Linked DNA regions of Drosophila melanogaster. The protein of the gene in region 1 interacts with the protein of each later gene in a pairwise test. Each region holds a gene or a part of one and is shown on either strand. Other genes may lie near its edges.

Region 1 (3,754 bases):
GATCTTGGATTCCTTGGCGCGCTGCCATGGTATTTTCCACACAAATTATATCAATTTGTTGCGGTGGAGAACCCCTACCCCTCCCCACTAACACCACCATCCCACCAACGAGGGGAGACGCCCTTGTGGTGCTTTATTTATAGTTCTTTAGATCTTTACACAGAAACAAGCAGATCACTTTGCCCCAGATTCTAAGGGGCATTTCACTATTCCTAAAACAAAATCCGTCCATATTTTCCGCCTTTTATAATTGTTCCGATTGGTGTACCAGTTTAAAAAGAAACAAATTTGTATTATGAGGTTTTGGTCCAATTTCCACTTGTATTAGTACACAAACCATATTTTAGTTATCAACAATAATAATAATTAATATTATTTTGTATTTAATTTCCAGAATTCATGGAGATGATGACTGGCGAGTAAGCATTGTGGACCCAACGTATCTCATAATTGTCTACCCCCCAACACCCGAGGCTTGAATAAACGTTTTGTATTTTATTTCTACGATTGAGTAATCATAATTACGCTATAAATAATCCGCTCGTTCAGGAACCGATTGAGTAGAAAAACCCAAAGCGCGGCAAACATTCTATGGCTGCAGTGCATCTGCATCCGAGTTGAGTCATCTTAATTGCCAATTGCCACCCTCTGGCGTGCGGATTATTATTAAATTTCAATGTTTGTGCAATGGGCTGGGAGTGGGCGTGGCCGCTCTGCTCATTTGTGTGTTAATTTGGCAAGGCCATTCGGCGTATGAGTGATGCATGTTGCGCATACGCAACGTGGCCAGATGCATGCGGAGTTCTTTGTTTCAATCTTTCCGCTATTACTTGCGGCAGTGCGTGCACATTCCGTTTGCCACTTGACTGGCGTTCTGGTCCGCACAGCTGTGACCATCCCAAGCAGAATAAGGCCCACTGACAACCTGCTAGATTTTTGCCTTTCCAAACAGCCAATGTAGTATATCATAGCTATGCATGCAGGCTGGCAAATGTCAATGAGCATTCTCCTTGTTGCCAAAAGATGTCAAGCATTTACGCTAAACTTGGCCGCCGCGACATGCAGTGAGTTTGTTTTCCCAAATTCAGCGAAAAGAAGCAACTGCCCTTTCTGAAAAGTTAGCGAAAAAAAAGGAGAAGGGGCTTGGGGCAGATCGATGTGGATGGGTTGGGGTTTGGATGTTGCCACCAAGTGGAGCAACTTGTTTTGCGCAATGCTTAGTCTTTCGGCCGGAGGGTGTCGATATTAGTGGTATTTATTACCGCTTCGAATCCAGTTTTCAGTTTTTACCCAATCATTAGGTGAAAGGTCACAGACTGGACCTGGACGCCCTGTGAAAGAGCTGAAAATGTGGCGGATTGTGTTGGGTGTCAGATTTATTGACATCCGCCTGGGCAGACTTCTCAATATGCGATTCTTGACACCGAGCGCATTAAAACGGTTTCCCAAACGTGCAATTCAATGGAGATGAAGCTGAATGATGATGATGCGCTCGAGCGTTGAGCGTTTCGATTGGATTCCAATTTACGAGCACCACCAGCAGCAGTTGCTTGCTTGCTAATTTTTACCCACTAACCGAGGAGAGATGTGGCTGAGAGCGTTTGTTTAACAAGACAAGGTACATTGAGTAAACGAGATGCCGCCGTTGAGACAATAGTCAAAATGCATGGGCTTGCGGATGAGGATGCGGGGGCACCACCACCTCCTCCTCCCTTTTTCGTGCGATTGTTTTCTGCCCCAGCTGGGGACGGAGCCTCAGCTAGCACCACCACCATCACCACCACAGCTGCACACGATTGCAATAAATGCCATAAAGTATCAAAATCTCAGCACTCGCTCAGCACCGAGCTCCAAGCTGCAAGCGGCAAGCTCCGGCTGCAGTTTTCGTTCATTCCATTCCATTTGATTGCATTTGGCGCCAAACCAAGTATAAAAGCTGGAGAACTTGGGCTGCGATCGGCACACAAGTACCGTGACATTCGAGGAGCCACAACACGACACGCGGAGGCACTGCATCGCTGGTGCGGCAAAGGACTTACGTGGATTAACCCAGCTTTGTGGATAAATTAAGCAGTGGATAAATTGTGGGTGCGCCAAGGATTCTTCTTCTTAATCCTCGATCGAAACAATCAAAAGATTGCTGTCATGGCTCTTAAGTGGGTAAGTTCAGTGAAAGAGGAAAGTAACTTTGGGTTAGAAAATTCAAAAGATCCAAGTGTTCTAATGAAGAGTCCTTTGAAACTCCATATGCTGTTGTGGTTAGAAATTATTGTAGAGCTTTACTAATTTTTCCCGAAAAGTATCCTTCTTGAGATAATGACCTAGATTCAAAAATATATTTCAATGTTTGAATATAATATTCATATTTATATTCATATTTTCCGTTTTTATTCTTTTCGGATTTTTTACATTCATTACATTTTTACATTTTACATTCGAATGCAAAGATCTTAATGCTTCAAATTTAATTAAATTGATTTCATTACCCAATTTAATTTAAATGAAAGTAAAGTTACGAATTTTACCTTAGAATAAAGACATTCAATTATTTTAGTCTAGGGAATTGTCTCATCAGAAATCTGTATTAAATTGGCATAGGAATATTCTTATTCATCAAGAGTTTATAACTTTTCAGGAAACTTTGATTTAGTTAATTATTTAATCTCAACTTGGCAACTCATAAAATTCCGCGAAAAAGAACATGCCTAAACAATAGGCCACTGGAGTGTCCCATCTTGGATATTTTAGCACAGCCAAGGGTTTCCCCATTGCACTTAGCATATCCGATTGTCTTGAAAAGATCGAGTAATCCCCGTGAAACGCATAAATTAACAGCCCATTTGCAATCGGAGATGGTGGATGGCACGCAAAGTTGCCCAAGATGGTTTGGTCGTGGCCGATCCGCCCCGCCTCCAAAGCAGATCATCGAAATGGAAGCAGTGGCGACCCAATTGGCAGCCCATTTGCAATAACCGCAATTATATTTGCGGTTGCGAAACGCTGTCGAAGATGTCTGCTAGGTGGTCACGAACTCCAAGAGGCTCTCACAGACTCCTCAAGATATTCCGGCCCAAGGGGCAGGCGTTGCTTGTTTCGGTTGCATGTGCCACAGTCGCCGGATGAGTCAGTGTGGCAAATGTCAGAATTTCCACAATATTACATTATTACACTGCCCGGCTGTGGCGACAAGTGAGCTCATCATCGTGCCAATCGATGGAGCTGTTAGGTTTATGGCCCAATGGAATTCGTAAACGGTTTAAACTTCAACTTGACACTCGCTGGTCCGCTCCGCTTAGCCAACCTTCCCAGCCAGCAATTCTCTGTGGCACTCTCGGTTCACACGCTGCTGCATCTTCAGACGTCTTCTGTCTAACAAGAAGTCCATAAATATCATAGTTCGCCTCAGGCTGAGACAATGATGAGCCAGCCCGATGTTGATACTATAGTCAAGAGTCCCCGCTGCACTTGCAGCCTTAATGGGCGACGACGATCGGTTGCAACAATGGAAAACGTGAGCGGATCGGATTGCGTCGTTCTGTCAATGGACAAATGCTTCATTGATGAAATGGCCGACATTTGGCCACACTCTTGACCCCTTTGGAGGTTCCCAGCGGCGGGGTCATGATACCCACTTGGCCGAGATGTGTATCAGGGCTTAATTAACAGCAGAAACAATTCAAGGTTCTTCTTGTAATTTGAAGTTTGGAAAAAGCTTATCGTTTATTTTTGGAACGAACCATTGCTGTTTAACTTA
Region 2 (3,754 bases), on another chromosome or scaffold:
CAGTCTTGACAAATCATTATAATGTGGGAGGAGCTGCTTTAACTAGCCACCTGAGTGTAATATGCCCTCTTCTATAATGGCAAAAAAATCTATGCATCTGAACCAGATGATAGATTACTAAATTACTGGTTAATGACTTAAGTTAACTAGAATATTTTAGAATTCATAAATCTTAATTGATTATTAGCTTACCACAATATTGCTCACCAATTGAATGGGAGGAACTGTAGAATCCCACTGTGCCTGTGAAGATTATCGCGATTGAAACGCACACTCAACTTAATCTTGTGCACATATTTATATATTTTAGTATATAGTTAAGAATTATACAACAGTATAAAAGATGACTGAGAGCCGTTTGGAGCAGGAATAGGGAAGGGGCGAGGCACACCGGGGTTGTTCTCACAGTTTGCCCTCGCGAATCTTGTTCAGCGTCTTCTCGGTCATCAATTGAGCCAGAATCTTGCTCAGCGTGGGATTCCGGGCGCAGTAGGCCAAGAGGTTGACGGGAAAGAGGCCGCACCAGGTGAGATCCATCTTATTGGCCAAGGCAACGGCGAACAGATCGCCACATCTCTGGGCCGTCATCCGTTTCTGATTGGCCGTACTCAGACCCACCTTTCCGCCCTGCGAGCCAGTGAAGGCCTCCTGCAGGAAATCGGTGGCTATGGGTCCCGGTGCGAAGAGCGACACATCCAGCTTGCGCATCTCCACTTTCAGGGAGAGCAAGTAGGCGTTAAGGGCGTGCTTGGCGGCACAGTAGGTGGGTGAAAATGGCACTGGACTGAAGCCGGCGATGCTGGAGGTGGCAGCGATGTGTCCTCTACCGCCGTTCTGCTCCACGAAATAGCGCACCACCAGGCGGCTGAGGTGGACCACCGCAAAGACATCCAGTTCGAACAGCTCCCGGTCCACCTCGATCTCGACTTCGGTCCAACTGGCTCGCTGGGATCGGCCAGCATTATTGACAAGGACATCCAGTCGATGAAAGTGATTGAGCACCGTGTTGAGATGCGTCTTATGCTCGTCGAGATCGAGCATGTCCATTTGAATGACCAGCACGTCCTTGGTGGCCAGCAGTCCGCGAGCTGCAGCTAGGCATTCCTCTTGCACTTGCTCCAATTGCTCCAGTCGCCGGGCACTTAGCACCAATTTCACTCCATGCCTGGCCAAGCTGAGCGCCAAAGCGCGGCCAATTCCGCTCGAGGCACCAGTTATCCAAACCACCTGTCCGCGCATCGACGACAGCGAGACTCCGAAACGGGACTTGTACCACAGGGCCACATTGCAGTCGAGCAGGATCCAGAGGAGCACGTACACGACATAGTACAGCACGAGCAGGAGCAGCAGAAACTCCAGGAAGCTCATCTCGTTGGCTCTGTATGGCACGGCTGGGTCGGAGAAACCTTTGTCCTCTGCCGCAACGGAAGGCACTGAAACCTGTTCTTGGCCACACAGAAATCACTGCGAGCGGGTCTGATCGATCAGCTGTTGGTGGGCACCAGAGGTGACGCAGTGACTGCGGAAAGTAGTCACCTTATCTGACATAAAACCCTTATACTTGGTTTTTGAATGATGCTATATTATTTAAATACCTTTTGGTAGCTAGGTAAGGGTAGTACTATCTTTCTTGAGAGAACATGTAGAGCATAATCCAAGATACGAAAAACGCTTCCATCTGCTCATCTCTGATAGTTTTTTTACGTAAACGAATCAGGGCTTCCAACACACTGCCTTTGCGCCAACATTCACATCAAAATTCAACCCCATCAGTTTGGCTAACCATTTCTTTTTATATAAAAGTAAGTAAACTAAGAACTAATCCTAGGCCTGCAGGAAGTCTCCGAGATTGCCACATATTTTGTCGATTTCCGCACATCCCGATTGCTCCAGCGCTGAAATGGCATTGGCGAGGGCCACGGTTTCTTTCAGGGAATGGGCCTTCAACCATATCCTGCCGTTGACTCCCACAGCGATCTCGTAGGGCAGTTCCCGGGTAAGAGCGGCGAGAACAGGGCAGTTTTCCCGCAGCAGCATCCTTCCCAGATTCAGGCTGCACTTGAAGAAGAATCCATCGGTGAGGACGCCCAGTTTGCCACTTTTGCCCACCGAGTTGACGCAGACCAGCTCCGGTTCAATGTCCGCGCTTGCATTCAGGACTCTCGCGTAAATCAGATCACCGGGGATCAGATCCGGGCGATTCTTCTTGCTGGCCGCCTCAAAGGCGAGATACGATATGGAGGCTGTGTCCGTTGCTCCGATGTCCACGCGGTACAGATCGCCCGCCTTGGCTCGCACAATGCCCAGAATGAGATCCCCGCGTGCCGGGATGTACCTTCTCTGGTAGTTGTCCACCCAGAAGGTGCCGGGTTCCTTGTGTCGAAGTGGGCCCGCCTTGCTAGCCACCACCGTGTCATCCAGACGCCGCAGTCCCGGTCCGAGTATCACCCGCTTGCTCTTGGCCAGCTCCTCAATGGCCGCAATTCGCTCACCGGGCATAACTATTGTGCTGGTCGCGCTCATTTTAATGTTGCTTTTACGATTTGAAAACTCCAAACAAAAAATCCGCGTGTGTCTTTCAAAACATATGGTCAAGTCGAGGACTTTCCAACACTGCCATTGTCAGCCCTGGTCTTAAAGTTAAATTTAACAGTAGTTGTAAAGAACATAAATATTCAAATTATTTTTGCCCCTTCTTATTTTATTATTTTCAAAATGCTTACGATTTTAATTATTAAGATGAACTTAAAAAAGTAACAGAAAAATTATATTTAGTCAAATTGTAATTGTTCTATATTACTGAATGATCTTAAAAATGCAAAGAAAGTTTTAAAGAGCTAACAGCGTGTGGGCGGCAATGTTAACCAACACATATGCAATTTTTTCCCGATCAGCTGTGCTGCTATAAGCATAATCGTACGATTTGTTAAAATCCGCTTTGCATTTATTTGTTCTAATTTATGGCAGCTAAAAAGCGTGACTAACCACAAGTATGTGACTTTGAATGACCCGATTGTCCAGAAACCACGGGAACATTTCATTATCATTGGTTGTTACACTTCTCTTGACGCCATTTGATTGTTTATGCTTTATTAACGAGAGCATTTATTATTATGTAGATAGACATGCAATCCACAGCTACGTGTGGATCCCGATTACTCTAACCTTGTGCGAAGGTCAATTTTCCCCAAAAAATATAGGAAACGTACCAGGGAAAACAACAAAAAAGGGAAAGCGCACCCCCACACTGAAAACCGGCGAGCACCTGGAAACGCATACATATAAAAGGAGAGTAAATGTAAGTGTCCCTCTCTTTTCCACACTTAGAGATGGGCAAAAATACATCGCCTAAGCTGAGCTTTTAAAATTTATGAATATTAAATTTATCATATAGCTTGCAACAGAGCTATAGTTTCATGTAAGGTAACTAAAATATATATTTTAAATGATATTTTTTACTCCTTTATCAAGATACAAATTGGTAGCACTTTCGCCGCCGTCTTTTACACATTCAAGCCATGTCTTGGACCGCTTCAGTTTTCTTGAGGACTTCCACCACTAGCATGAAGTTTCTGCGTCTGCGCTGGCCTCTCCCCAGAATTCCCCAGAATAAATCGGCAAACGTTGCGCCGCGTTTCAGAAGCAAATCAGCAGTCAGCCAGCTCTCATCTGGATTTAAATTTGTGCAGATCCGCAAAAGTACTTGGTATGTATATTGCTAGACTCTTGGTGTGTGCTTGTGCATCCAGCTTAG
Region 3 (3,754 bases), on another chromosome or scaffold:
TTCGCCTCAGGGGAAAGGCAAAACTCTGCCGTGAGACGAACGGCAGCTCGTAAATTTCAAAAATTTGAAAACAACAGCGCCGGCAACATATACTTTTCGCGCGCTGGCCGAAATTATTTTAAATCACCTGCTGCCCGGCATTTATCATCAGAGCCAGTCGGACAAGTCGGACTCCCTAACGACCGCAGCCAGTCTTCAGCTCAACTCCCAGGACGACTACAACGGCAGCGAGATTTGCGAAGAGCACTTTATTTTGGCCAAGCCATTGCCACGCCTCCGTCCCCAAGCCCCCATCCACACTCCATCCACGCAGTGAAGTTTTCTCCACCTAACACCGACCCACTCATAATGTCCGCGCTTCTGATGTTATTTTGCCATTTTCGCTCTGGTTTGCGGCTGGGGGAAAACTGTTTTGTTATCACGGTGATAAATGGAAAATTATTTTGAATCGAGCAACTACTTAAAAGAATTCCCAAAGGTTGTAATAAATTTTGGGGCACACACATACACACATACATTCACGTCCGAGAAGGACATGCGAGGAAGGACAAGTTGGTAAGACCGAATCCGAGTTGAGCTGGCTTGGTAATGTCCTTCCAGATAAAAAGGTGATTGACGAAGCGAAAGCAAAAGTCATGGTCGAACTTCCACTTAGCAATGCAGTTGTCGTTCACAGAAAAGGACCAACGACGATGTCGGTGGTTGTGTTGTGTGTAGTGGTGGGCTGGATGGCGAATTTCGTCCTGGCATGCACTTAATTTGTACTGGGAGCTGGGGACCTGGGGCTCCTCCACTTGCTCTGAAGAAATACTCCAAGTTGAGCATATTCACAAAGCTTTGCAGAGCCAGGAATGCTATAGGTGCACACCGTGCCAAATTATTTCCTTACAACTTTAAAACTAAACATTTTATTATATGATACATCCTGGAATATAGCCCACATAGGTAGGAAGTAACAGCTCTTCCGGGAAAATATTATAGCTTATCAACAGTACCACTATAATTAAATAATAATAAATATGCATTAAAAATATAAATATTTTATATGTCCTGGTCACAAGAATTGATACAAAGTCGTTTGGTTTTCTTAAGTGCAGCGTCTTTGTTGGCAGGAGCAGCTACATGCACTATGGAAACCACTTCCAAACTGGGGGCCATCTCCGATCCAGGCACAAAGGCACCCGGACAGGACGAGCACACTCAGCGAGCAGCTCTAACAACATCTATTTTTATTTCATTAGGTAGAAAAATAGCCGGCAAGGTGAAGCTCCTGGCAGCTTCGCCATCAAAACAAAGCGCTGAATATTGGCCAAAACGGAATGGAACGGGGCGGGCGAAGCGGGGCTGGCCACAAAAAGAAACTGCTCTTCGCTTCTCAATTAGGTTAGCTTAATTTAAATTTGCTTCGAGTGCTTGGCAAGTGCTTGCGAGACATTAGCAGCAAATATTAGCAAACGCTTAAAGAGCGCCGTAAGTGGAAAATATCTTAGGCGAGTTTTCTTAAATTAGCCGTTGTAAACATTTGTTACGCACTCGGGTCGGGATTTAGAGTGTCTTAAATGAAAACCGGACAGTTTTTAATGAGGAAGTACGTTTGGCAGGTGCGAGATAACTAAAACATAAAACATGTTCATTGGAGTATGAAGATAGACAAACGGCACTTCCATAAATGTATTAAGGTGCACTGGAACACATGGGTTAAAACCATGTTATACTTATCGATCACTTTCAGAAACAAACTTCAAAAAAAAAGACTTTCAACGCACAAACAAACATACTCGAAAATAACTCCATATGGACTTTGAAGATGATGAGGAGGTTGTGCAACCGCACTATGCTCAGAAATTCCGGGCTCCCACCGATCCCCTCCTTCTGGCCACATATGAGCTTTTTAAGCCCTCTCATCAGACCTTGAACCTATACAGCGAACGGAATCGCGAGATTTTTGCGGAGGCCTTTATAGAGGGAAACTTGAACACTTTAGTCAATCTGAGCGTAAAGAGTCTGGCCAAGCTGGGCATTCGAGGCATATCTCCAACTTTGCAGGCGAGTCCCCAGCTTATGAGGATATTTTACGACGCACTGGATGTGGAGCTGCCTTTGAGGTATGTAACGAAACGGATACAAGTATTTTCATTACATAACCTATAATTTAACATTTGACGCCACTAACTTTATATCGTTATTTACTATGGTTACAAACCCTAATAACTTTATATATATTTCAAAGAGATTGCTATTTGATCGAGGATCAACGATTTTGGCGACGCGTCGTACTAAGCAAGACTTTGGACAAAACGTTGCACCTGAAGCGCTGGAACGAGTTCGACTGGAAGGCTGAGGGTGTGAGCCGGAAGTTTGTGGAGCAGGTTGAATCATGTCCTGTGAACGTGAAGCCGCAGAGAAGGCTGGCTCAGTTGGCTGAAATTGTTTGGCAGTATGTCAACTCCATGCACATCCGCAAGCTGCAAGCTCTGCCCGACTATGCCTTCATTAAGCACTTGGAGAGCGAGCCTGAAGAGGATATATCCTCGGAGTCATCCGACGAGGAGGAGATATCTAGCGATGAGCCGGATACGGAAATGGACGAGGGCGAGGAGGAGCACAAGTCTAGTAGTTCCAGCAGCGAGGCAGCTATTACTTTCTGGCGTGCGGAAACCGAGAACGAGGACACAATTCGCCGGAATGCGCGACATCTGCGCAACGCCAACCGCCAGCAGGCTCGGGATGCCATTGCTAGGAAACGGGAGGATCGCAAGGAGCGCAAGAGGAAGCGCCAGGAGAAACTGGACGCCTTGAAGAATGCGGATCAATCGGGCAAGAAAAAGAAGAAAAAGAAGAAGGAACCGCCCATTCGAGACGTGTTCAGCATAAACGTTGCTCCAGAAGAAGGTGATGACGAGGACACAAAACCGGACAAGCGCAACAAGCAGCTGCTGCTGGAGCGGATCAAGCGGTATGACTATCCGGAGGACCATTGTCATCACATTGATCTGGGATTTGTACGATATTTTGAAAATATGATGTCTCTGACGCTGGAGTTTTTGGGACCACCTGATGTAAAAGACTATCAAAGGTAAGCTCTTAAATTAGAATGTTATGGTAAGAAACAACATCGAAGAAGTGAAACGTGCTGTACACGATTTGTATAACATGTTTTCTCTGAGATAAATGGAACCAAATAAATACATGTGAAGTAGAGTTCTAAAAGCGCCAAGAGTCTACAGCTGCATCGCCTACCACCAGCATTTAAATTAAAATTGCTAGCTTAAACTTAACTTAACTTGTACCTTACAGCCGTTATATGAAGTTCTCAGACAGTGATATGGTTCGTCTTAGCAAAGGTCTGAAATACTTACCGAGCCTCAAGACCTTCAGGCTTCGAAACAGTCGCCTGAGTATGAAGAAGTTTCGTATCCTGACCCGTGCCCTTCAGAACTTAGACACCCTTGATGAGGTGGATTTTGGTTATGACCAAATGACGGATGAGTGCAGCGAAGGCCTGGCCTATTTGCTAAAGCGCCCTTTGATGTACCGCAGTATCCAGCTGGAACACAACAAATTGGGCGCCAATTGTGCAATTGTGCTGGGCGAGGCGTTGAGCCAATCGCAAGTGGGGGTTTTGGAGTATCTGGGCCTGGCTCACAATCCGCTTAATGAATTGGCCCTGCATTCGCTCATAACGTGTATTATCGGAACCCCCCATGTGTGGGCCCTCAACATTTCGGGGATCAACACCACCCTGGGTTCGTTT

The links.
Region 2: the proteins of Cpr47Ef (region 1) and Eno interact in a two-hybrid assay, tested with the Drosophila melanogaster proteins (one large-scale study listed by BioGRID).
Region 3: the proteins of Cpr47Ef (region 1) and CG15580 interact in a two-hybrid assay, tested with the Drosophila melanogaster proteins (one large-scale study listed by BioGRID).

What each region holds. Positions count from the first base shown.
Region 1 is NT_033778.4:11,270,783-11,274,536, reverse strand, and holds the start of Cpr47Ef (cuticular protein 47Ef), read left to right. Parts: upstream 1-1,961; 5' UTR 1,962-2,145; coding exon 2,146-2,160; intron 2,161-3,754. Other genes in the region: TpnC47D (troponin C at 47D), read left to right, coding at 395-423.
Region 2 is NT_033779.5:1,727,598-1,731,351, reverse strand, and holds the start of Eno (enolase), read left to right. Parts: upstream 1-1,715; 5' UTR 1,716-1,824; coding exon of another isoform or gene 1,825-2,523; exon of another isoform or gene 2,524-2,620; intron 2,621-2,888; exon of another isoform or gene 2,889-3,049; intron 3,050-3,119; 5' UTR 3,120-3,298; intron 3,299-3,471; 5' UTR 3,472-3,518; coding exon 3,519-3,706; exon of another isoform or gene 3,707-3,754. Other genes in the region: CG31937 (uncharacterized protein), read right to left, coding at 403-1,368; Rrp40 (ribosomal RNA processing 40), read right to left, coding at 1,825-2,523. UniProt on the Drosophila melanogaster protein: Enzyme of the glycolytic pathway. Glycolysis is essential in glial cells but not in neurons; neurons rely on the citric acid cycle for their energy needs, and on lactate and alanine secreted into the hemolymph by glial cells to fuel it.
Region 3 is NT_033777.3:6,055,531-6,059,284, reverse strand, and holds the start of CG15580 (uncharacterized protein), read left to right. Parts: upstream 1-1,748; 5' UTR 1,749-1,794; coding exon 1,795-2,105; intron 2,106-2,230; coding exon 2,231-3,076; intron 3,077-3,297; coding exon 3,298-3,754.